4 linked regions of the Drosophila melanogaster genome follow. The protein of the gene in region 2 purifies or fractionates together with the protein of the main gene of each other region. This does not show direct contact. Each region holds a gene or a part of one and is shown on either strand. Other genes may lie near its edges. The genes, in order: Cpr62Bc, Vajk2, CG4962 and hmw.

The links.
Region 1: the proteins of Vajk2 (region 2) and Cpr62Bc purify together in Drosophila melanogaster (affinity purification with mass spectrometry, with the first as the bait; one large-scale study listed by BioGRID). This does not show direct contact.
Region 3: the proteins of Vajk2 (region 2) and CG4962 purify together in Drosophila melanogaster (affinity purification with mass spectrometry, with the first as the bait; one large-scale study listed by BioGRID). This does not show direct contact.
Region 4: the proteins of Vajk2 (region 2) and hmw purify together in Drosophila melanogaster (affinity purification with mass spectrometry, with the first as the bait; one large-scale study listed by BioGRID). This does not show direct contact.

What each region holds. Positions count from the first base shown.
Region 1 is NT_037436.4:1,838,845-1,845,044, reverse strand, and holds Cpr62Bc (cuticular protein 62Bc), read left to right. Parts: upstream 1-2,960; 5' UTR 2,961-3,040; coding exon 3,041-3,055; intron 3,056-3,152; coding exon 3,153-3,284; intron 3,285-3,857; coding exon 3,858-4,253; 3' UTR 4,254-4,764; downstream 4,765-6,200.
Region 2 is NT_033779.5:13,932,059-13,936,598, forward strand, and holds Vajk2 (Vajk2), read right to left. Parts: upstream 2,635-4,540; 5' UTR 2,552-2,634; coding exon 2,540-2,551; intron 1,739-2,539; coding exon 938-1,738; 3' UTR 501-937; downstream 1-500.
Region 3 is NT_037436.4:16,293,282-16,298,328, forward strand, and holds CG4962 (uncharacterized protein), read right to left. Parts: upstream 2,267-5,047; 5' UTR 2,203-2,266; coding exon 2,191-2,202; intron 2,128-2,190; coding exon 1,768-2,127; 3' UTR 1,430-1,767; downstream 1-1,429.
Region 4 is NT_033777.3:18,359,078-18,365,791, forward strand, and holds hmw (hemingway), read left to right. Parts: upstream 1-2,916; 5' UTR 2,917-3,048; coding exon 3,049-3,252; intron 3,253-3,324; coding exon 3,325-3,939; intron 3,940-3,994; coding exon 3,995-4,692; intron 4,693-4,746; coding exon 4,747-4,906; intron 4,907-4,968; coding exon 4,969-5,106; 3' UTR 5,107-5,200; downstream 5,201-6,714. Other genes in the region: WRNexo (WRN exonuclease), read right to left, coding at 5,533-5,688, 5,745-5,988, 6,044-6,268, 6,331-6,536, 6,595-6,699. UniProt on the Drosophila melanogaster protein: Involved in assembly and/or maintenance of motile cilia. Required during spermatogenesis for axoneme elongation. Necessary for optimal function of the chordotonal (hearing) organs.

The sequences.
Region 1 (6,200 bases), on a different chromosome or scaffold from region 2:
TTGTTTCGCATATTGCGCACACACGACCGCAACAACAATGCGAGGAAAAGCTGCAAACATTTGCCACTCAATCAGCAGCCGAACAGCTAGTGCAGCTAAGGCAACGCACACAAATTGCTTTAATTACAACAAATTTGTTTGAATATATATCAACTTGAGCTGAGTCCAAGCGCGTGCACTGCGAGAAAAAGGTCTTCCTTTAAGGCTAAAATCACGACTAGTACAAATTCCTAAGAGGGCTACATTACTTGCCATTAGAAATTCCGGGCTTGTTGTACTTAAAACCTCTTATATTTTCTCGCAGTATAGTCTAGGTAAATACTCTCTAACACCGCGAGTCACAGTGACTATTCACGTCGTGCACCCGCAGCTAAAAAAAATATGGCCAGCTCGGCGGCTCTCCACTCGTTTGGACACCACTCAAGTGGCCAGAGACTCGGATCTCGGATCTTGGTGCGCTGACATGACGAGCCAAGATCGGGCCAAGATTATTGCAACTGCTGCTGGCCACTTGGGCGTTGCGATTCTATGATTCTGCGAATCCGGCTGCCGACTGCAAAATGGGTGGTCTCTGGAACTCCGCGCCTGACTCATAACTGTTAAGATATATATTTGCGCCCATGTGGAGCGGATCTGTTGCACGTACTCAAATCTGAGTTTCAGCGGAAGGGGTGAATAATTAAATCGAAAAGGAAACGCGCAATGTGGCCAAAGAGTTTCGCATTCACGAATTCGTAATTGTCATTGTTGGGCTTAGTCTAGTCTAGTCTACTATAGTATAGTCTGTTTAAACTGGACTTGGTTCTGCCGCGGTGAGTGGCATATGATTGTTCAAGGAATTTCCACACATTTAACTAACGGGTTGGTGAATACCTAGGAAACGAAACCGCGTATCAAGGAAGTTGGTGGAACTGGTTTTGCATTGCATTGTTATATTAGAAGTTGTAATAAAATTTTGAGTGGCTTGAAACGATTGTTTATCAGGGATATTCTATCGACACAATGCGAACCACTGATCAGCCCTACCTCTTCCCAAATATGGCTCAATCTTCCATCAAAAGGCAATCAATTACAGCATTTTTGCTCGAACCCAATCGAAACCTAGTTTTTCAAAGTCTCGACTGCAAAAATTCAATTAATTGGCCACGACGGTGCGTCATTTTCCGCAAACAAAGGACGCAATCAGATCGTGCTCTAATTCAGGCAAACTCAAAGATGCAGTTTGAATATTTAGAGGGGTATATCATAAAGGGGGGATGGGAAACTTTAAAGAAATATAATTAAATTCTAAGGAAGCTCATTGTCTACTTACTTACCAACTAACCATTCCCAACTGCCCATTCTACGAAAATCAACATGTGTAAAGTAATCTGGACTAACTTTCGGATAAGTAAACCCTCTTTTTTAACTACGCCCCTGCTGAGATTAAAACTGTTAGTGATCCGTTACACGTCGTTTGCTGCTGTGTCGTGCTAACCTTGAGATGATTACTTCAATTTGTAGTACGCGATGGCCAGCCTGGCATAAATGGTGGCTCAGAGGGGGGGGGGGGGGGGGGGGCACCAAAGGGGGAATGTCAGAGCCGAGCTACTAATTCGAGACAATTTATTAAATGAGTCGAAGCAGGGCAAGTACGTAGCATAAGCCTGGCGCAAATATGCCGTAAAACAAAGCAAGGCAGCCCTCAAAAATATGACAAAACCAAACGCTTTTGCTTTTTTACTGTTCGTAGTTTTGGCCTGGTAATGAGTTGGGGCTGAACTGGCGTCTATTTTGGCCATAATGATGTGGCGCCACGCTGCGCCCCACTTCAAAGGCGTTTCTACAGCGTCTTCGGGTGGTGGCCTCCCCATAGCACACCCCTCTTGTCTTTCCCAGATGGGTTTAATAAGCAAAACGGCCTACATGGCAATTAAAAAAGTGTCAGTAGGAACAACAGTCAGTGCACTGGAAAACAATTGAAGAACAAAGCCACTTGCTGACTTTAGTTAAAAGTATTGCAAAAATATCTCAAGATTTATGGGATTTCATGAGTCAGTAGCTCGTTTTAGTGGAATGATACCACTGATGTTTTACTAAGACTTCGAAATTAATCTACAATACCTCAAACCATTTTTGGCAGTGTACTATCACATTAACCAAAAGATTTGACAGACGACGCCCGCTGCAAGCAAAATAAGGCACAGAAAACGTAGAACATAGAAAACTTCGACTTGAAGCCCACGAAACAGACGAGCGAACAAATTGCAACATGCAACAGAAAAAAACCATGGGGATTTTCAGGAGGGGGCTGCAACACCGCCGCCCACCGAAATGCAATTTTAACTTATTTCAGCCATTGTCTTTTTATTTCATAAATATTTGTGTTTACGGCTAATTTTATTCGTGCGCGAAGATTGTTTTTGCTAGGTAGTTTAGAGCTTGCAAAGGCCATTTCAATTAAATCGTGATGGGAGATGGTAATATATAGATAGCCAACTTTTTTCCGATCATGATTTCATAATTAATACGCCTTAATAATGGCCAATTTGATATGTTAATACGAGTATTGATTTCAGCAGATAGAACTCGCATTAAGTGAGGTTTTCCCTTCCATTTCACAATTATTTCGACTTCGATTTGCATACATCGCCGGTTATCTCAGAAATCAGACAATTTCCAAAGACAAACCACAGCCAGCCAACAGTCGCTCCACATCTGAACTGAACTTCACTCTCGTTTTTTTTCGCTGAAAAGCATTAAATAATTGTGAATTGTTGGTGGGGAAGGGGGGGCGTTGCAGGGGCGTTGTGGGGGCCTCAACTTCTTGGGCTTCGCTCCGCAAAGCTCGGCTTTGGCTGGTATTTCATTGTAGTTTTGTTTTTGCCCCTGCTGACCGACTGGCATTCGGCTTTTTGTGACTCGGCTCGGTTTGGGCCGCTCGGGCGTTGTCTTGTATATAAAAGCGGCTTCCTTCTTGGTTCTAGTTATCAGTTGAATCCAGCTCAACGTACAGCACACACTCGCGTCTGCAAGAAACAAAATCCCAAAAATCCAAACAATGGCATTCTTCAAAGTGAGTGAACAGGACAGCCCTGTGACAGCCAAAAGTGCCCTGTGATCCAATCGAAATAGCAAACTAATAAAACAAACCCCTATCCCCTGTGATCTAGTCCCTCATCTGCCTGGCCGTCCTGAGCGCCGCCTCCGCCGGAGTCCTCCACGGACATGGTGCTGGTCTCTACGCCGCCGCCCCGGCCATCTATGCCGGCCATGGTCACCACGACGAGGGAATCGATTACCATGTAAGTGGGCAAGATAACCCAAAAAGGATTAACTTTCAAAGTAGCGCATATGAGGATTACTAACTCTTAAAGAAAATCAATGTCCTACTATTGGAATCCATTTGACTTGTTTAAAACATACATTTTGAAAAGCTTCCTCTTAATTGAAAATGTGCATCATGAGTTTATTGCTCTTTTAAAATCAAACGACTACAATACCATCCAGAGCTAAGAAATGCATGCATCTTGACTCATAAAAATTACTTATACGACACGTAATCCCTCCCGCAAACATTACTCATACGACCTGTAAGCCCGAAAAAGTTATACAGCCTACCGGCTGTTCATGCAATCATAAAATTATACTTAATATGCCCTAAAACTGACACCATCAGTCCGCACAACCTCTCACCCACTCCTCTGTGGATGCTGGTGGCCCAGGGTCACTGTGGCATTTGCCATTTAGCCATTTTCCCACGCTAGCTTCATTAGCATGGCCAGCTGCTTCGAGTGGCGTGTGGCATGCACATAAAATTAGCACCCAATCCTAGCAGGCCCGTACTCTTCTCATGGAATCTTTACGCCAATCCGCAGGCCTACCCCAAGTACCACTACAACTACGGAGTGGCTGACTCTCACACCGGAGACGTGAAGTCGCAGCACGAAGTGCGTGATGGTGATGTCGTCAAGGGATCCTACTCTCTGGTGGAGCCCGATGGTTCGGTGCGCACCGTGGAGTACACCGCCGATGACCACAATGGCTTCAACGCCGTCGTCCACAAGACCGGCCCCACTGTGCACCACGCCGCTCCCGCTGTGGTTGCCCACGCCGCTCCCGCCGTGGTCCATGCCGCTCCGGCCTATGCCCCAGCCATTGCCCACCATGTGGCCGCCGCTCCCGCCGTGCCCTACGCCGGATCCCTGGCGCATCAGGTGCCCGCCTACGGATACGCCACCCACAACGCTCACGCGCATGTGGCCCACTACTAAGGAAGTGGAGCAGTCCGCTGGATGCACCACCTGAAGCACCACCTGCACCGCTAACACCACTCTTCTGTAATTTATTAAGCACGTTGACGACCTCACAAAACGGCTGATCGATCCACTGACGAAGCCTGCTAAAATACTCAGTACCACAGTCATGTCCATCATGTCCTGCCGTGGATTCCCCGGACTTTCCCGGCAGCCTCTGTCTCCCTCACACACACACACACACATTGCCGTCTCTGTCTCAGCTTTCGCGCAATTCTCTCTTTTGTTTGTTAATCAACCTTCTCTTTAATTGTAAATAATGAAAACATCGAGTGAGGAACAAACGCCCATCCTGCCACACGCCCACGAAGAAGAACCAACCTGAAAAGATGAAGAAAAACGAACAAAATGTAAAAAAAAATAATAAAAAAAAACACATGTATTATAATAATTTTGTGTATACTATAAGTTTGAAGCTGAAACGGCTGACAATGCTATAAATACAAAATGTAGAGAATTATAAAAATTCAAATATTTCGTTTTTTTACTGCACAGAAAGGAACTGAAAACATAGATTGATCTTTAATTTGATTATTCTGTTTTATCTTACAATTAATTAGTTGATTGGCATTTCTGATCAGAACACATTCACTTTCAAATTGATTCCAAGTATGGGTAATTATGGTTTCCATTAGTTATGAATGTTATGGAAATTGATGGGTAGAGAGCACTTCGTCGAGATCACGCCACTTGATTGACAATAATCGATCTGGCTAATTTGTGGGCGTGGAGTGAAAAAGGTGAAGGTAATCATCGGCGGTTGATTATCATTTGATCCGCCAATAACCAGTTGGTGTTTATTAACTGATTATTTATCTGCAGAAGAACTATGCCATCTGTACTCTGGCAAGACGTGCGCTTTCATAATAAGATTCGCATCAGCATTCATATGAAACTTGAAGCTTAAATATAAAACTATATATAGCCTTATGTATCTGGAATTTGCATTCATAGAGTTTTCTTAATTTCCGATTTAAGGATATTTCACCAGATGCACTACTCGAACTCATTAAATGGGCTTTCTTTAATATTATTTTGTAGAAAACTTTTGGGCATTGATTTCTTAAACAACTTTAAACTACGATTTCAAATTGATTTTTGAAGGCTTAGAAAAAAATAGATAGATGATGTGTGCTTTTTGGCTGCTATAAACAAGACTTACAGTCATAGACTACTTTCAAGCTTAATAAAAACAATATGAATGCTACAAGCAACTATGCCACTGTATTTTTTATTGAAAAGCCATTTTAAACATTTATTAAACTTTATTATTACTATTATTTTACTACTTATATTATTAGTTATTAAATTAATTATTTAGTTAGTACCTTATAGATATGTAGAATTTTTTAATAAGGGTTTCATACTAAGCATACCTTTTTATTGGCTTACAAATATACAACAATTTCCCTAGAAATGTATCCTTTCCAATAGACACTTTTTTAATAACACATAACAAGGTCGATTGATGCCACCGCATTTTGCCTATCCACTTACGCACTTTTACTTTTGTGGCCGTTGGAAGCCACCGCAGAAGGGTGCCCACGGTGGAGTTGCCCCCCAGTGCGGTCACAAGTTCGGGGGCATCTCTCCAGCGAAGACAATAAACAAATAAAGCATAACTTAAAACATTTAAGTCACAAGAGATGAGTGTGTGGAGGCTTCCGCATGCAACAAATCTTCGCATTTCCGTCACATTTAACGTGCGAACAAAACGAAACAAAGCCAAATATTGATCTCTTAATGGGCACAACGTGGTTTTTGGTCTACACTCTAGACAAATGGCCAACGATCAAAACAGAGACGTCGGGAAAATGGTGCAAAAGTGCTGGGTGAGGGAAAAAGAATTTATCAGAGATCAGTGGGCAGCGGAGCGTTTAAATGTGCGCATTTTTCGAGCTCGAA
Region 2 (4,540 bases):
GGCCTACTCACTAAATTTACAGTTTTAAAAACATTGTTTGCGAACAATTACTTGACGCACTGTAATGCAATTCAGAATAATTCCCAAAATTTATAATAAATAAATAAATCATTGCATAGTTGTGGGAATATCCTTTGACTAAAATAAGCTGTATTAATCCACTTAAGAGTAACTCCACACCCCCTCATAAAAATTAATAAATATCCATAAATATATAATATATATATATATTATATATAAATATATAATATGTAAATATATAATATGTAGTCCTTTATGGCTACGTTTTAACTTGACAGATATATAACTTCTGTAAAAAAATGTATTTATTCCAAAATAGCAATGCAGCAATACAAATTAAGCTTTCAGCTTAAACAAAAGGCTCATTAAGTGAAAATACCCTATATACCTTAAAAATATCCTATCGAACTTCTATCTTTTTTTTTTTTAATGGAAAGCCCAGTATTTCTGAAAGTACAAGTCTTAAGTTTTTTTTTTTTAATTTTCGTTTTATTTACATTATTTAAATATGTACAAATATTTCATAGAAAAGAAATTTACGTGAAAAAGTCGAAGGAGCAACTCGTCAGCAGTTATTTCTCTGTGATTGTCTACAAAAGAACTGTACACTCGATGGATTTGGATGCCAGGAGACAGGCACTTTTCAAACGCCCCGGATGGGTTTTGGCAAGCTTTCTATAATGGATTGCGTCAGTTGTGTGATTTTCTCCTGGTTCCGATCCTTCCAGAATTTCGGTTGGTATCACAAACTAAAACTAAATTTGTAAGTCGTACGTTGGCGGTTGCTGGGCGTGGAAAGAGAGGGAGGGGTGCTTGATTCTTAATGTCTGTTGGATACTTTCGACTTGTTGGTTGGTTCGCTCGCCTTCACCCGACTTCACTTCTCGCTTGGCCCTCGACAGCATTGCGATTTCATCTACTTTTTGTGGAGGTAGCCACCGTGGGCGGAGCCGCCGTAGGAGGAGCTGCCGTAGGAGGAGATTCCGTGTCCGGAAATTCCGTATCCGGAGATTCCGTGTCCGGAGTAGCCGTGGCTGATGATGGCAGGAGCAGCGGCAACGGTGTGGGTGACGGCCACGGCGGGCTTGACGTGGCTCTCAACGTGGACAGGCACGGGCACGGCCACCTTGTAGGGCACTGGACGCTCCACATGGACGGGCACCTTGTGGATCACACGCTTCTCGACGGTGTATGGCACGGGCTTCTCCACGGGCACGGGGTATGGCTTGTCGACATGGACGGTGTAGGGACGATCAACTGGGATCTTCACGGGCACACGGATCACCTTCTCGACGGGGTAGGGCTGGGGCACCTCGACGGGCACCTTCACGATCTGCTTGACGGGCACATGGACGATCTTCTCCACGGGGTAGGGCTGGGGCACGGGCACCTTAACGGGATAGGTGACGGTCTTCTCGACGGGGTAGGGAACGTGACGCTCCACCTGGTAGGGCACCTGCACGGTCCTCACCACGGTGTTGGTGTGCACCTGGGTGGGCAGCTCAGCGACAGCGGGAGCCACTGGAACTCCAACACCGATGCCGGATCCCAGAATGGCGCCTCCCGCCGATGGTCCGTATCCGTAGCCCAGACCGTGGCCAATGCCGCGCTTCTCCTGCTTCTTCTCGGCGGGCTCGGCGGTCTCGACGGCCTTCTTGGGTGCCTCCTCACTGGCGTTGGCCACCAGCACGCACATCGCCACAAGGCCGAAAATGAGCTGCAATGACAAGTGGGTTAAATTCGATAGAAACCCAATTGGCTTGGTCGGGCGGTTATGCAACTGCAGCCGCTTCCGGCTCCACCTCCGCCCGATTACTCCATAATTTGGAATATGACAATTATGCAATGTTGGGTGGAAAGTTGGCTGGGCAACCAGCCAAGTTCAATTGTGGCCTAGGCCCCCTGACATATTGGGCATGCGGCGTATACTTAATGTGGCTTGATATTTTCGCAATAATTCGGTTAAAATACAAATTGGAAGAAGGCAAATTCAACTCTTTGTAGTTTCGCGTTCAAAGCTTTTTAATACGAATCTACATTTTTGTTTTCTTTTTTAAATGCTAAAAACATATTCTAGGACTGCCTATCCTTTTCGGGTTAAAATGATCCTTAACACTTTTCGATTTTAGTAATTATGAAATGTGATTTCTTTCAATAAGATTTAAATGTAGAACTGGTAATGGAAAAATTAAATATTTCAATTAGTTTTCTCTCTAAAAATCCTTTCTTAAAACCATGTTCATATTTACTTGGGTAAACCAAAATGCCACAAAAAAGTAACATATCTAGAGACATTTTAGAATATCCGTTCTATCCTTGCTTTTGAAAGAGCTGATGAAGTCGTGCAAAAACCTTTTTAAAAATACTTTAATTGCAACACCGATATGTCTACATTGTTCCATAAATATATATATATATATTCTTTTGCAAGTCACTTTAACTGAATCCGAGTTTTTGAAACACAATTATTCTAAGCAGCACTTCGAAGGAGAACACACTGAGCTCAGACCGAACATACCATGGATTTCATTTTGCACTAGGTTAGCTCCTCAACACTTTGCGATCAAGATGGGCTTGTATGTCTCAACCAACCCGCAACAGTTAACTGAATAATTTCGCACAGACGCAGCGAGCTTTTATATGGCCGATGCTGTGGCGGGATTGTCTTCAGCCGCGGCTGCGCAGTCGACGTGAATCGAGATCGCAGCAGCCGTGTTGAAAAAGCTCGCTCTCCATCCGTTCGACAGCTCCTCTCTCTCTTGGCCAACTGTCCGTGTGAGCCCGTGGCCCAAAGGAAATGCGTCAGCAAGCGAGCTTTTTCGAAAGAGGGTGCCTCACACGGACAGTGTCCATGTTGTCCGTGTGATCTGCGCCTGTATGAGTGCGTATCTGTGAACACTCGAGCTCCAACTGTAGCGATCTTTGGGAACTACTGAAAGTATTCAGACACCAAGTAACTGGGGGCACAGTTTAGTAGAAAGAATCGTTTCTTGCCAATAGCCAACATAACAAACATAGCAAATGGGTAATTTCGTTTAATTTTGCCTTAATCTACCAAAGAGATCCAATCAATTCTTTTGGAGAATCGCTCTTAATTGTACAGTTCAAACAATATAGACTTTTTTAATCATATACGTATGAATTTTAATCAACGACTTTAGAGTTTTAGAGTCTCAGAGTTTGTTTCTAGAATATTCGAAAAGTGATAAATTTTGTATTGTTAAAATTTTAGTAAACAGCTTTAAAAGTCCTTAGAAAGTTTATGTAATTTTAGATCGGAGCCCTTCCTCCGACGTCTTTTTGCGCAGTTAGTATTGTTATATGTAGCCATTATTATATTATCATTTTCCCTTTGTACAAATATATCTTATTAATATATTTTTTGTAAAAATCTCACATAAATACATGAAGTGTTAGTGTTTGTTTCCCAGGTAAAATTACATTAATGAACACGACAAATAAAATAAACTACTTGTATTTCTTACCATTTTACATAAATCTTTGGAAATCAACACATTCGAAAAGAACATTAATTATAAACATAATAATTATTCAATTAAAAATTAAATATTAACAAAGTTAAAAATGAACATAAAGAGTTTAAAATTTATGGACCATAAATAAATGAGTAATTTTTGGCTGGTAACGAAACCTTCATAATTATTAAAAAATATATACATTAAAAAAGAGATCACAAATACTTTTCTAATGCATAATTTTGACTAGTCCTTAGTGTTGGGAAATTTTTGCCCCAAAGCCTTGAGCCATTAATAAATAACTGACCGCGAGCACTTCAGTCACATAATCAAATTAGACACAACGGGCAAAGTGTTCCACAGCCATAAGTTAAATTCACATTAGCCACACATTTCCGAAAATTTCAGGTTACAAATCCAGTTGCAGTTGCAGTTGCATATTGAATGTAAATTGCTTGGCTGCAGAAGAAACATGCGCCGCATAGTCTGCTTGATTCTGTGTGGCTTCGTGACTGAACTTTTGATCTCGGATTTGTGTTTGGCTCCGTATTCTTGTTTGCTTCGGTTTTTTTTTCTCAGCTTTTTGGCCAGGCTGAGCGGCGTTTTAAGCCTTGATATGGGTGCATTGATTGAATGCTGTGGCAGTGTGGGTAATTTGACATTTTAATGCTGCAGAGGAAATACTCGCCAATGGCCATGTAAATGGAACGTGTGAACAATGAGTGGACCGCAAAACGCGCACAAAGGAGAACAGATACGGGCACCAAATCATGTTGGTTTTATGTGCATTAATTTAATTGTGGACATAACGCCGCGGACATAATGGCAACCGAGCGTATTAGGCTTTGTAATGTGCAGTTGAAGGCGAAGGTCGCCAGACATCATCGCCATGATCAACACCACGATCATCAGCATCACAATTGGTGGCAAAGACTGAGTCAAAGTTGAACTACATAAATGCTAGGCCTTGCCCGGCGTGGCGCTTCTTTTGTGGCCAGTATTTTTTTTCCAGTCGTTTTTGTTTTTTTTTTACTAATGTGAAG
Region 3 (5,047 bases), on a different chromosome or scaffold from region 2:
AATCTGCAGGGCGGCAGGTAAACAACAGGTGTGTTGCATTTGCGAGGTTGTGGGAATCTCTTGCGAGAGCTGCAATTGTGCCATGAGAGCACCTGCCACAAAATGCATCCACTTAGTGTCAACCGACGAGCTCGAATGAATATTCAATGGCCTGGGAGATGTAGGAAGCAGAAGTTGTGGCCCACCTTTTGTCTGCAAATAATCGAAGGTCGTTTGCCGAATTTTCGCTTGACTAGCTAACGGTATTGCTGTCTTTATAAGCTATAAGCCCATAACTACGACATGGTTTATGAACAGGGGGACATAATTTATGCCGAGCTGAACTGAGACAAATTAAACCTATAGCTGGGCACAATTGAGTTGTATGGCTGTCAAGGTCGAAGAGCTGCCAACAATGGCCTATTGTTATGGGCGATATGAATTATATTTAGCAACCCCACCCATCATCTTATGATTTTCACTCGGCGAGATAACATTTATTAAGTAAAATCGTAAATTGATTTCCATTACGCCGCCGGCAAAGCGCAATACACGACTTTTCAATTTTCGCATGAATTATAGTTGGTATTTTCGGTCCAGGATCAGCTGGCCGGCGTTAAAAAGGTAATTAAGTGACTCAATTCACTTTTCAGCAGCTGTTGATGTGCTCCCATTTTTCATTTGCGAAACTGGGCGAAAAGCATTTAGCTGCGACAGTTGGCCGGCCATTAATAAAAAGATATTTCAACGCACTTTTCACTGGTCAACCTGTTGACAGGCGCACGCGTTTGTCGCTTGAGTCTTTCGTTTCCCCGCAATGATAATTGTTAGAGGAGGGGGGGGGGGTATAGTGAGCAGGTGGGCCGGGCAAGGCGTTGCAATAAAACAATTTTTTTTGGTATTTGGTTTTTTCCTTGCAAGTTTCAAAACACCCGACGGGAGTCGATATGAATCGAGCAAGTTGCTCAAGTAAAATTAATTTGAAGTGCAATTGAATGCTGAATGGCGATCGGATGGTTGGGGTAAGTTCGCAGTTGAAAATCATTGAACAAGCAGTTTTTTGTGAAATGCTCGCATCTACGAACTAGCAATACTATCTGGAATCCTTATAAATGCGAATAAAACTGATCACTTCACGCTCAACTAAACTAAATTGAAAATAATTCCACACTTCATAAATAGACATTTGTCCCCTTAACAATTAGTTTTGAGTTAAGTGGCTTACATTGCGAAATGTGTGTGTGTTAAAACGGCAAATTAAAATATTTCCACATTACTCTGAAAATTCATATTGCTTCCAAAACGTTAGGTATCGTAAAGATTTCATTGAATTGTGTGTAGTAAGGCATATTTGGATATGGATCTTAAATATCCATCCGTCATAATTTCAAGTGAATATTTTTAAACTAACATATATAAGCAACCAGTAAATGAAATAAGCCATCATATTCGTTTAAAGAGTCATTTATCGTTTATTTACAAAATGTTATGAAGCCACAATGCATGGAGTTGCACCATAATAACAAAATCAACGAAACTTGATCCTTCATCAATCTCTCTCGCTCTCGCCGCCTCCCGTTAGTTGTCCTTAGTTCTCTAGTTGTCTCTGTCTCCAAGTGGGTGTCTGGGTTTTTGAGGGATTTTGTACACAATTTGTATTTCCGCTTCTGACTACGAAATGCAAATTCAACACTTTGACGGCAGCAAAATGCGAATTATCCGCTTAATGTTCTCACTTCAATCGGGGTCGTCAACGGGGGGCTGGTATCCTTTCCGACATCCAGATCCTTAGTGCAGGTAGGCTCCGTGTCCGTAGCCGGCGTATCCCAGACCGTAGCTACCGTAGCCGCCATAGGATCCATGGTAGGTGGAGGTGGAGTGCAGAGCAGGCACGGCATGGACCAGAGGAGCGGCATGGACCACTGGAATGGCCTTGGTGGCCACCTTGTAGGTGTTGGCATAGGAGGTGGCCACCGGGTGGGCGACAATGGGAGCGGCGTAGCTCTTGATGATCGGGGCGTGCGAGATCACAGCCGGAGCGGCATAAGCCGGAGCCAAGGCGGCGCCGTATCCCAGTCCATATCCATGGCTGTAGGGCGAGATTACTCCGGCATTGGCCACGGCGCACAGGGCAGAGATGAGGGCAATCTGCGGAAAAGAAACTTCTATGTTAACTTCATACGAGCGGTAATCCTTTAATCCTGATCTTACCAGTTTGAACATTTTGCTGGTTTTGTGTTGTTTGGACTTCTTGACCGAAGAGCTGAATGTGTTATGCTTAGACGTCTCAAGTAGCCCTGTTATTTATACCCGCAACATGAGAAATATTCTGACAAATCTTGGCCCAAAGAGCGGCGGAGAGGGAGAGCCAACACGCCCCTTTCGACGGCCGAGAGCCGAAGCTTTGTGCATTTGCCGACCAGCAGATCGCGAAAGAGATCAGTCACGCGGCGGCTTTGGCTTGAGCCACTGAGCCACCGCCAATTTTAGCCACCGAATCCCCAAGATTTTCATGGAGAACCACCACGAGCACTTAATTCAATTTGTATTTTTTTCGTCAGCTATTGTCGGCGACTTTTGCTCTAACGGAAACTTTTATATTTCCATTCATTTCGTCGTGGAAATGAACAATTGTCTTCTGGGGGTTTCCAGCTGAGAAAATTCTACGGCTAAATCTGGTTTTGCCTATTAGTAATTTTGCAATTATTCCAGTGATCTAAATTGGCCATTAAGTAACATTTCCTTTGAAAGAGCACTTAAATTTATCTATGAATATTGTGTTTTATTCAAAACCGTTGAATTCACGTGTTCAAATTATTTAAATATAAGCCTGCAAGCCTATTAAGCATATCTGCCTAAATCCTTTCTAAAACCGAAAACACGCACTTTATTATCAATCAGCTGACTGACTGACTGACAGCTCATTAGAGATATAGAGATCCGTAGGTGTGGAAAATGTTGTTGTCCAGATGCAAATGATCAATCGGAGCTGCCTCTCCACGCAGCAAATAAACTCAAGTGGTCCATGAAAAATTACTCACTTTAATAACTGACAAACACAGAGTGGAGATTGGTGCAGTTGGTCATTTTGGTGGCTGCTGGACGGCAGCTGGTTTGCCTATATTTTGCATGCATTAATATTTAACTGATTTGTTATCGCGCACATGGCGTATGCGTAACTTGGGTGGAAGGAGCGTAGTCAATTGGAAACATAGGTAAATCATATTTGCCGCATTTCGAATGGCCTGCCAGATTTCCTAATAGCCATGCTTAATTCTGAAACAGCTTTGAAATCATATCACGGGATCAGTCAGAACACGAGGCTCGAAAAGAATTGCAAAATGCTTGTTTTGAGCCTTGAATATCGGTGTATTGAATCAAAGAGTTGTATAAAAATCGAAATTCTCTCAGGGCGAACAAAGACCGACTTAAAGTTTATGAGTCATAAATTAATAAACAATTACGATGGCGACAATTCTTTCGACTCAGCGACCCTGGCCATCGTTGCTGATTGGACCCCAAATGGACAATCTGCATATCAACGGGGCTTAGTGCTAGTCGAATCTAAAACTAAGCCGAACCCTTCACCAAAGCCAACACCTCGTGATTTCGACCCGTGGCGTTATGCAAATGCTAACCAAATTGTCGCATAAATCTCAATCGAAGGCGGCTTGATTGACACCAAACAGGATGCCAAATTGCGTGGCTATCTATCGATCCGCAGCTACAAAACCAAATATGCCACCCACTCGGTTGTTTTGGATTTTTGGTTTTATTCGTGCTGGTTCCGATTGCAGCTGACCACCAAACTCTGGTGGCCTGTAATTGCATTTTAATGGCCTACCAATTGCATTCTGTTTGTCTGCTAGCCATTGAGCAACGTCCATCCAATGCATACATTCGATTTTGATTCAGATTCGCATTTCCCAAGCGACGCCCAAAATACTTTGATTGCCAACAAATCATTCAAAAGTCGAAATTAAAAGCCGTCAATTTTCCAACTCAACTCGTGGCTCAACTCAATATTTTTTCCTTTCGTGATTTATGCGATTTTTCTGGGGAAATAGTCGGACCTGAAATTTGTCCGCCCCATTCTGGTTAAGGAAATTTCCCAAGTCGCAAGTCTGGAGTTCGCAAATGGAGCAGAGGTGACTAGTTCGACTTACATGCATTTGATTAGACCAGCTTGTGACCGCAATGAGTTATTATATATTTTTTGTTATAGTTTAACATAATTGTCGGTTGGGTGGAGGCCAATTTGCATAGCTGACTCCCTCCCATCTGCGGATCGCTGGCTGTGACTCGAGTGTGGCCAATTAAGTATTAAGTATACCACATGTTGGACGCCACTCGGTCAAGGCCGTGCTTACCCCAGCCTTTGTCACAATGTCGTGCACATTACAATGTGTACAGCAAAGCCTGACTATTACTCGTTTTATAATGATTAATACCAAGAGGAACAGCGACAACAGCCAAGTGCAAAACTGTAACAATGGCTGGCAAAAATCACATTTGCGTTTACTTAATTACCCTGGAAAACCCTCAGCACTAAGATCAAAGTGAGTCTAAACCTTCATGTATTTATTTTTAATTAGTTTGCAAATATAAATGCATACCAAATCCGTGGAGTAAGCTTTAACTTAAGTTAAATTTTAATATATACGTATACTTAATATTGTAAAAACCGTATTAGATACAACTCCAAAATCAAAGCATCGTATCAGAAATTTTCCAGAATAAATACAGTTTCCTTACATTCCGTAAATCGTTTCGTAGCCCGACTATTACGAGTGGGTATTTTTTAATGAGTCTGAAATATCATTCCGTGATTATGTTTCTAGGGTACCAATCAACGCTTTGTTTTTCCACCTTCAATAAAGCAAATGTCAGGCAGACACCGCTGTGAAAAGCTCTAGAAAAACACACTGGCCAACGTGGAGCAGTGTTTTCATTTATGGAATCAAAGTGAACTAAGGTGGATTAATCCCATCCTCCCCCTTTTGCCACCCTTCCTTGGCTACTGTATTATGCCAGAGCTGTTTTACCTTCGACTCAGCCTCGAGGTTGG
Region 4 (6,714 bases), on a different chromosome or scaffold from region 2:
TCATTAGTTATGTTAAAGCCAAACGAGGGAATATGTCTAAATCGGGTTATCCCCTTTACATCAAAGTAAATTTGATTAACTTCAGTCTTTCCTGATCTAAGTTTACACATATCTTACTTTAAAAAAACAGATATCTATAAAAAATTCAGTAGCCTATAAAAAAGACAAATATCCACTCAAAACCATACCAAATATACACGTTTATTTTGGTTAACAATTAAAGTAAACTGAAAAAGTAGCCTATAAAAAAGGCTAAATGGTAAACTTTATCGTGTTTCGCTTTCACTGAACATTCGAGCCACAACCGCAAAATGATTTAGCGAGCAAAAGCAAAGTTTGTTGCACGTAGGATGCATCAATTAAAATGATAATAAATTTATTAAATTCATTTCCTTCAAAAAGTGATGACCGTGCTATTTAAGTTTTATGTTTTATATTTTATTGTTTTGTCGTACAATTTGTTTGAGTAAAAACATCCGGCTGCAGAAGTTAACAAAAAACTAAGTAAATAATGTGGTTCGTAAATCGATTGAAAAATCCGACGGCGATTCACTATTTTTTCTGTTATTCAAAACAATTTCGCAACACATCTGGTTTACTTATTATAGCTATTAAGTTGATTTTTAAACGCTGTGCTATTTGTTTAAACGCAGTGCTATTTCTATCACAACTCTTCGCAATTACAGGGTATTTGGCGGCTTAACGGATGTGTTTCCATCCACCCATGGCCAAGCCGATCCGTGCCAAGACTTGCGGATGCCGGAGCTGGAGCTGGAGCTCTTGGTCTAGCCGCATTGACTGCGGCTCTTGGCCGGGTTGGTGGATTCGAGTCGGAGATCTCAGGTTGTAGGTTGCAGATTGTGGGTTGTGGGTTGGCGGCTGCGGCTGTTTGCTGGTGTCGTGTGGCTGCGCCTTTTGACCCACCTAGCCGCCCCCGCAACCCCCGCGGCCGTCACAAGCTCTTAGCCAAATTGCTGCAGCCCGAAAAGAGAGATGGGGCGCGGAAGAGAGAGGGAGAGCGAGCGAGCGAGGAAACGGAAATAACTTGTAAACTTGCGGCACGCAATTTGCAATTACTTAGGCGACTGTTGCAAAGGAACATCAACCAACGCATGCAAAGGACAAAGGCAAGAGCGACTGCCAAAAAGTGAAACTTCCCTCAACTATTTGCTATTGATTAAACAACTAAAACGGCAAATGGAAGCAGAATTTGCGTATATGCCGTATACACCGTATGTTGCCGTTATAAAAGCTGGTCAAGATTGCGTATACGCCGCTTATTCCACTCTTGCGCTTGATTTTACAAGCCCATATTGCGTATACGCCGCACGTTCCACTCATTTTTTTCGTAAGCGTTTTTAAAGCCGTTGACGCTTGAAGGGCTTGTCACCGGTTATTCAGTTGGCCTAGTTGTTGACTTTTCTTAGCCACGCTAATTACCCGCACTGGCTGGCCAGTCGATGGGCCAGCAAACGATTTCCGCTACGATACCGTGCCACTTCATTCACGCACTCCACAAACACAGGCACATGGCACGCTACACACTTGCTGGTTTGCTCTGCCAATTTTCCCGTTGCGGGCCACAATTTTCACACACATCTATCACGGTTTACGCGCGCATTTTCCGGCTCAGCAACACGCCCGCACGCCACGAAGCTTCTTGGCCAAATGAATTGCCCGCTGGCCAACAGCAGCCGCTTCGCTCAAAGCGAGGAAATCCAGGGGGGAATCGTACCCACGAGGGGGCCACTCTCAACGCCCATGCGCACTGCCTTATGGCCACATGACTCTGGAGAGGATTTGAAGCAGCGATTCGGGAGCACTGCCATCGCCGCTCGCAATATTTACAATTTGCAACTGGCAGGCGGCGGATTTCGACGCCGCTTCGCCTTTCATTCAACTGTCAGATTTCGTGAGAGTCACTCAGAGAAAATACCCCGAGAATGGAGTCGCTGGGCGAGGGAGAGAAAGTGCTGGAGCGCAAGTTCCTGACCACAGAGGCGGCGCCACATGGAGCTAATGGGGATTCTTAATTGTTTAAGATATTTGAAAATGCATAGCAGGAAATAATGGTTTAGTTTACCAAGTAGAAGAAATAAAATCACCAAGATATACTAACTATTATAGATATATGTATGGATTAATATTTATTGTTCAGAGTTTATTATTGCACTTTATAATACATTTATGACCAAGTTAGAAAATCCAATCTTCAATTTCAATTTCCTAACTTTTAATCCATTAAGCATATGAATCATTGGGCTTTAAACTTGTAATTCTTAAGCTAGTGGTTAAAAGTAATATGGTCTTGAGAAAAAAGAAATATATAAACACAAATCAATATTATATATCCGGCAAAAAGTTCTAGTGTTCGCAGCTTAAACCCGGTGCTTAAAAAGTAAATCCGCTATATACTTGCTGAATAACTTTTGTATTATTTCAATATCACTTTATATCAATTTCCAGTGCTGTTGGTTAATTTATTCAGTGTTTTCCATAATTAACGCAACAAGAGCCGGCAAAGTGCTGCTGAGGCAACCAACAACAAACCGCCTGCGCCTGCTCTGTTGCCCAGGACAACCGCTGGCTAGAATAAATAAATTCCCAGGTGTCAAGTGGTGGGTGCTGCGACGAGGGGTTAGCGGTGGGCATGCGGACTCCGCTCACCTGAGCTCCAGTCGACGGTTGGCAGCGCCACCGCAATGCAACCAAGGAGTCAAAGTTGAGCCAAGAAGCGCGGTATGCGCCCAGTTTTTCCAACTTGGGGTAGACCGGAGACGGAGGAGCACCTGCCCCAATGTGGGCGCAAAGGTGTCAATCATAAGAGCGCATCGAAATGGCTGCAAAATCAAACTCAGTGAACAAATAGCAACTACTCAAGCTGAAATCAAAATTCAAAGTTTGAAAGGCCTAGGAGTTTCGGCAGTTCTCAGTACAAACTAAAGAAAAACACACGGGTGACAACGCTAATACCCCAAAAAAAACAAAATACACTACAAACGACGAAAGGAACTTAATCAGAGAACCGACGAAGAATAAGCATACAGGATGTCGGGGGCTGGAGAACACTCAGATGAAGAGTCCTATGGAGAGGAGTCCTTCGAGGAGGACTCGGAGTCGGAGGTGGAGGTGGAGGAAGAAGAGATTGAGTATATTGAGCCAGAGGAGTCAAAACCAAGTGACGCTCTTCTGTTGGGGGAGAGCGACACCCAAAGCGAGAGCGATGTGAAAGAAGAGTTTCTTAGCGGCAACGTAAGTCCTCCTCACCAGGAGCTGACTATTTCCGAGTTCAGCCTTAATCCGCAACCTGCATCGCGCCCACAGCCACACGCCCGTCGCTATTTGGGCGCCCGAGTGGTGTCCTACCTGAGTTCCTCCTCTGACGACGAAAGCCAAGTGGTCATCACCAAGACGGTAGCCGAGGTAAATCAACTAAGTCTGCGAGTGGACACGCCTCCGGAGGATGAGACGCCCTCGGTGCGCACTCTGATGCCAGGCAGTGCCCATTCTCGGGTTAAGGATGAGGACGAGGCTGAAGACGAGGATGATGACGAAGGTGATGGCGAAAATGATAACGATAATGAGGACGAGAATGATGACGAGGATGCTGAAGTCGAGGAAATCGAAGAAGAGGAGGAAGAAATTCCAGGAGACGAAGACGACGCCCAAAGCGATGGATCCATGGGTCGTCAATCCGCCGACGACAGCGACGAGGAGGAGGGCACGGATGTGGAAGTGGAGCAGCTGGAGGAGGACGAACCAATTGTAACAGCTGTGTGCAAAAAGACGGTCCAGAAGGAGTTACCACCGCCCCAGAAGGACATTGTTTCGCTGGTCGATGCCAGTGATAACAGTAGTGAGCACAGTGTGGTCACCATGTGTGCATCAGGAGACGAAACAGACAACACCTTGGTGAAGTATCCTAGATTACGAAAGCAGGTAAATAATGGATTAGATAATATCTCACTACAGATAATTAAACACCTACTCACAGCAACCACTTACTGCTAAGGATTCGCAATCGCTAAAAGAGCAGGAAGAACCGGAAGAACCGGAACAACCCGAAGAAAATCAAACAGAAGAACACATGCCAACATCACAGCCCGATCTGGCGAGGGTTCGGTACCTGGAGCAGCAGATGACCCAAATGTCGGAATTGATCATGAAGTCATTCCAGATCAATGGAGGAGCGCCAAATAGCCAAGCCTTCGAGCAGCTTGCCATGGCCACGGAGATGTTGCAGCAACGAAGTGACAGGCGCGGGGACACTGAATCCGAGATGTCATCGATGACGGAAACGACTATGACCAGTGCTAGGAGCTTGGGTGGAGGAATTCCCCCCCTGACAATGCGGATGGAGCGTTCTCAGGAGGCACTACTCACGACGCGATCTTCCAAGCTACCCAGACCCAAATGCAGATGTCCCTCGGAATCGGATTTAATTGAACACGAGCAGAAACTGGATATGGGTCACGAGTTGCCCCATGACCTGGCAGCGAACTTCGGCTTGGGCGAAGGCTACCTCGTAGACGAATGTGGCCAGGGCGACGGACTCATGAGGCATCCACAACAGCGCAAACCAATGGAGTTAAACAGGCGAGCCGTTAGCGGAACTCCAAGCACCTTCAACAGCGACGGTTGCGAGTATCAAATCAATGTGTCGCGTTCCCGCTGCTCTAATGATAAGATTAAGTAAGTAACTTATAATACTTATACACTCTATTACATATAATTACATCTGCATAGCTATAAAAACCTTGGGCGCAAAAGCTTTAGCTTTACGAATCCCCAAGTGCGCGAGATCGAGCGCCAGAATCAGATTCTTTTGCGCAAGATGATGACTGTGAAGCCCACGGCGACGATCAAGGCTAGCACCAGTAGCATAAAGATCAATGGGCCCGAGAAGGTGAGTACATAATATAGAACTTATGTCCAATATTAAACCTCTTCCTTAACAATGTCATACAGCGACAGACACCTCCAGCGCCACGACTGTCCAGCGCAGCTGTGAACCGGAAGAAGAATCAGCGCCAGATCGACCTGGACAACGATCTGCTCAAGCGGAAACTGGAGGCCATCGGCACACGGCGACCGCAATTCAAGTGACGCCTCCACAGGCAGCTCCAACTGTGTTCATTAAGTAATTAAAAGTGTTTATGCGAATTTACAAAATTAAAATTTATTGCAAGTTGAAAAGTGTAAAAAGCTGTATAATCTTAATATAATTTTAAGGGAATTTATAAACCAACTAGAATTCATGCAAAAATGTATAGTACTAGTAAAATTTCGTTCCGATCAAAGTCAATGCATCAAAATGTGTTTATAATTTGTACATTTAGGTATAAACAATTCTATAAATGTTATCGTAATCAATAATCGAATTGGATAGCAATATTAAATTTAACAATTATTTTGCAGCACGTTGGTAACAAATTAAACTAAGAAAAACTCCCGAAAATAAATGAAAGAAGGCGAAAATATTTAAACAGGTAAAAGGAATTAGATGGCATATCTGAAACTTCAAAGAAAAGCTTACAGAGTCACCTCGTTGATCTTGGTCAGAAATGTCTCTCCCAATGCTTTCATTGCTTTAAAGGCAGCATCTCCGTTCTTTTCCTTGAACTCTTCTTCATTTTTAATCTTGACCTTCTCGCGGCGTTCCAATTCACGATAGATAACCTGACCAATCTGAAAAGAAAACTAAGATTGAACGAAATTGTATGGAAAAGTGAATATCAACTTACATAGACATCGATGGCGGCGTACATTAGTTGATTCTCGTCCAGCGGAATGACATGCCACTTGCTCATGCGCACCTTCTTGCTTTTGTCCATGGCCTTCTTGGCTATAAAGTTGGTTAATCGCTCCAAGCTCCAGCGCCCGCCGGTCTCACAGACCTCATTGCACCAAAGACCCAAGTCCACGCATTTCTCTATCAGTGGTTCGGCTGTAACCTCGGGGAAATCACGTGCCAGCTTTCGGAAATCGCTGGAAAATAACAGATTTTATTTATCCAAATGGATTTTTCCTTTGTATAACTAACTTCTTTATGTTCACGCCATGCAATCGCACTTTGGGATGATTGATAAGGGCCACCAGGGCCGCAGGCAGTTTCTTCACATTAGTCAGCTGGTATATGTAGCAGCACTTTTCATCCACGCATATCTGGATGACGGCAGACTTGCCAGGTCCTGTTTGGAAAGAGAAGGGCCACTCCATGTCGAAGGCCATGGGCACTACCTCATCTTTTTGTTTTTCCACCCATTGCCTAAGTTTTGATTTTTAATGCACATTATTAACAAGCAGGAATAAGTTATAGAGTTAACTTACAAAACATCGTCAGCAGATGCCGCAATATCCTGGCTCTCCGTGAAATACTTTATAGCACCCTTGTATTTAATAAAGGGAAGCTTTTCGGGCTTTTCCTTCTCCGGTGATGGAGACCCATCCTCTGCCATTGAACGAGTGCTTCTGGTCAGCCTGGAACTCCGGCGCTTGGGCGGATTTTCTTCCTCCATCGCTAACTTCTCAGTCTTCTATAAAGTTGTTAATGCTTCGTCCCAATATAAACTTAATATATAAATTGTTGCTTACCACATCTGGAGTATCCAGATTTTTTCGCTTGGCAGCCGGTCTACCGGGTCTTCCTTTCGTTTGCTTTGGCGTATTATCATCTCCAGCATTTTCTTTATCTTTCAACTGCAAGATTTATTC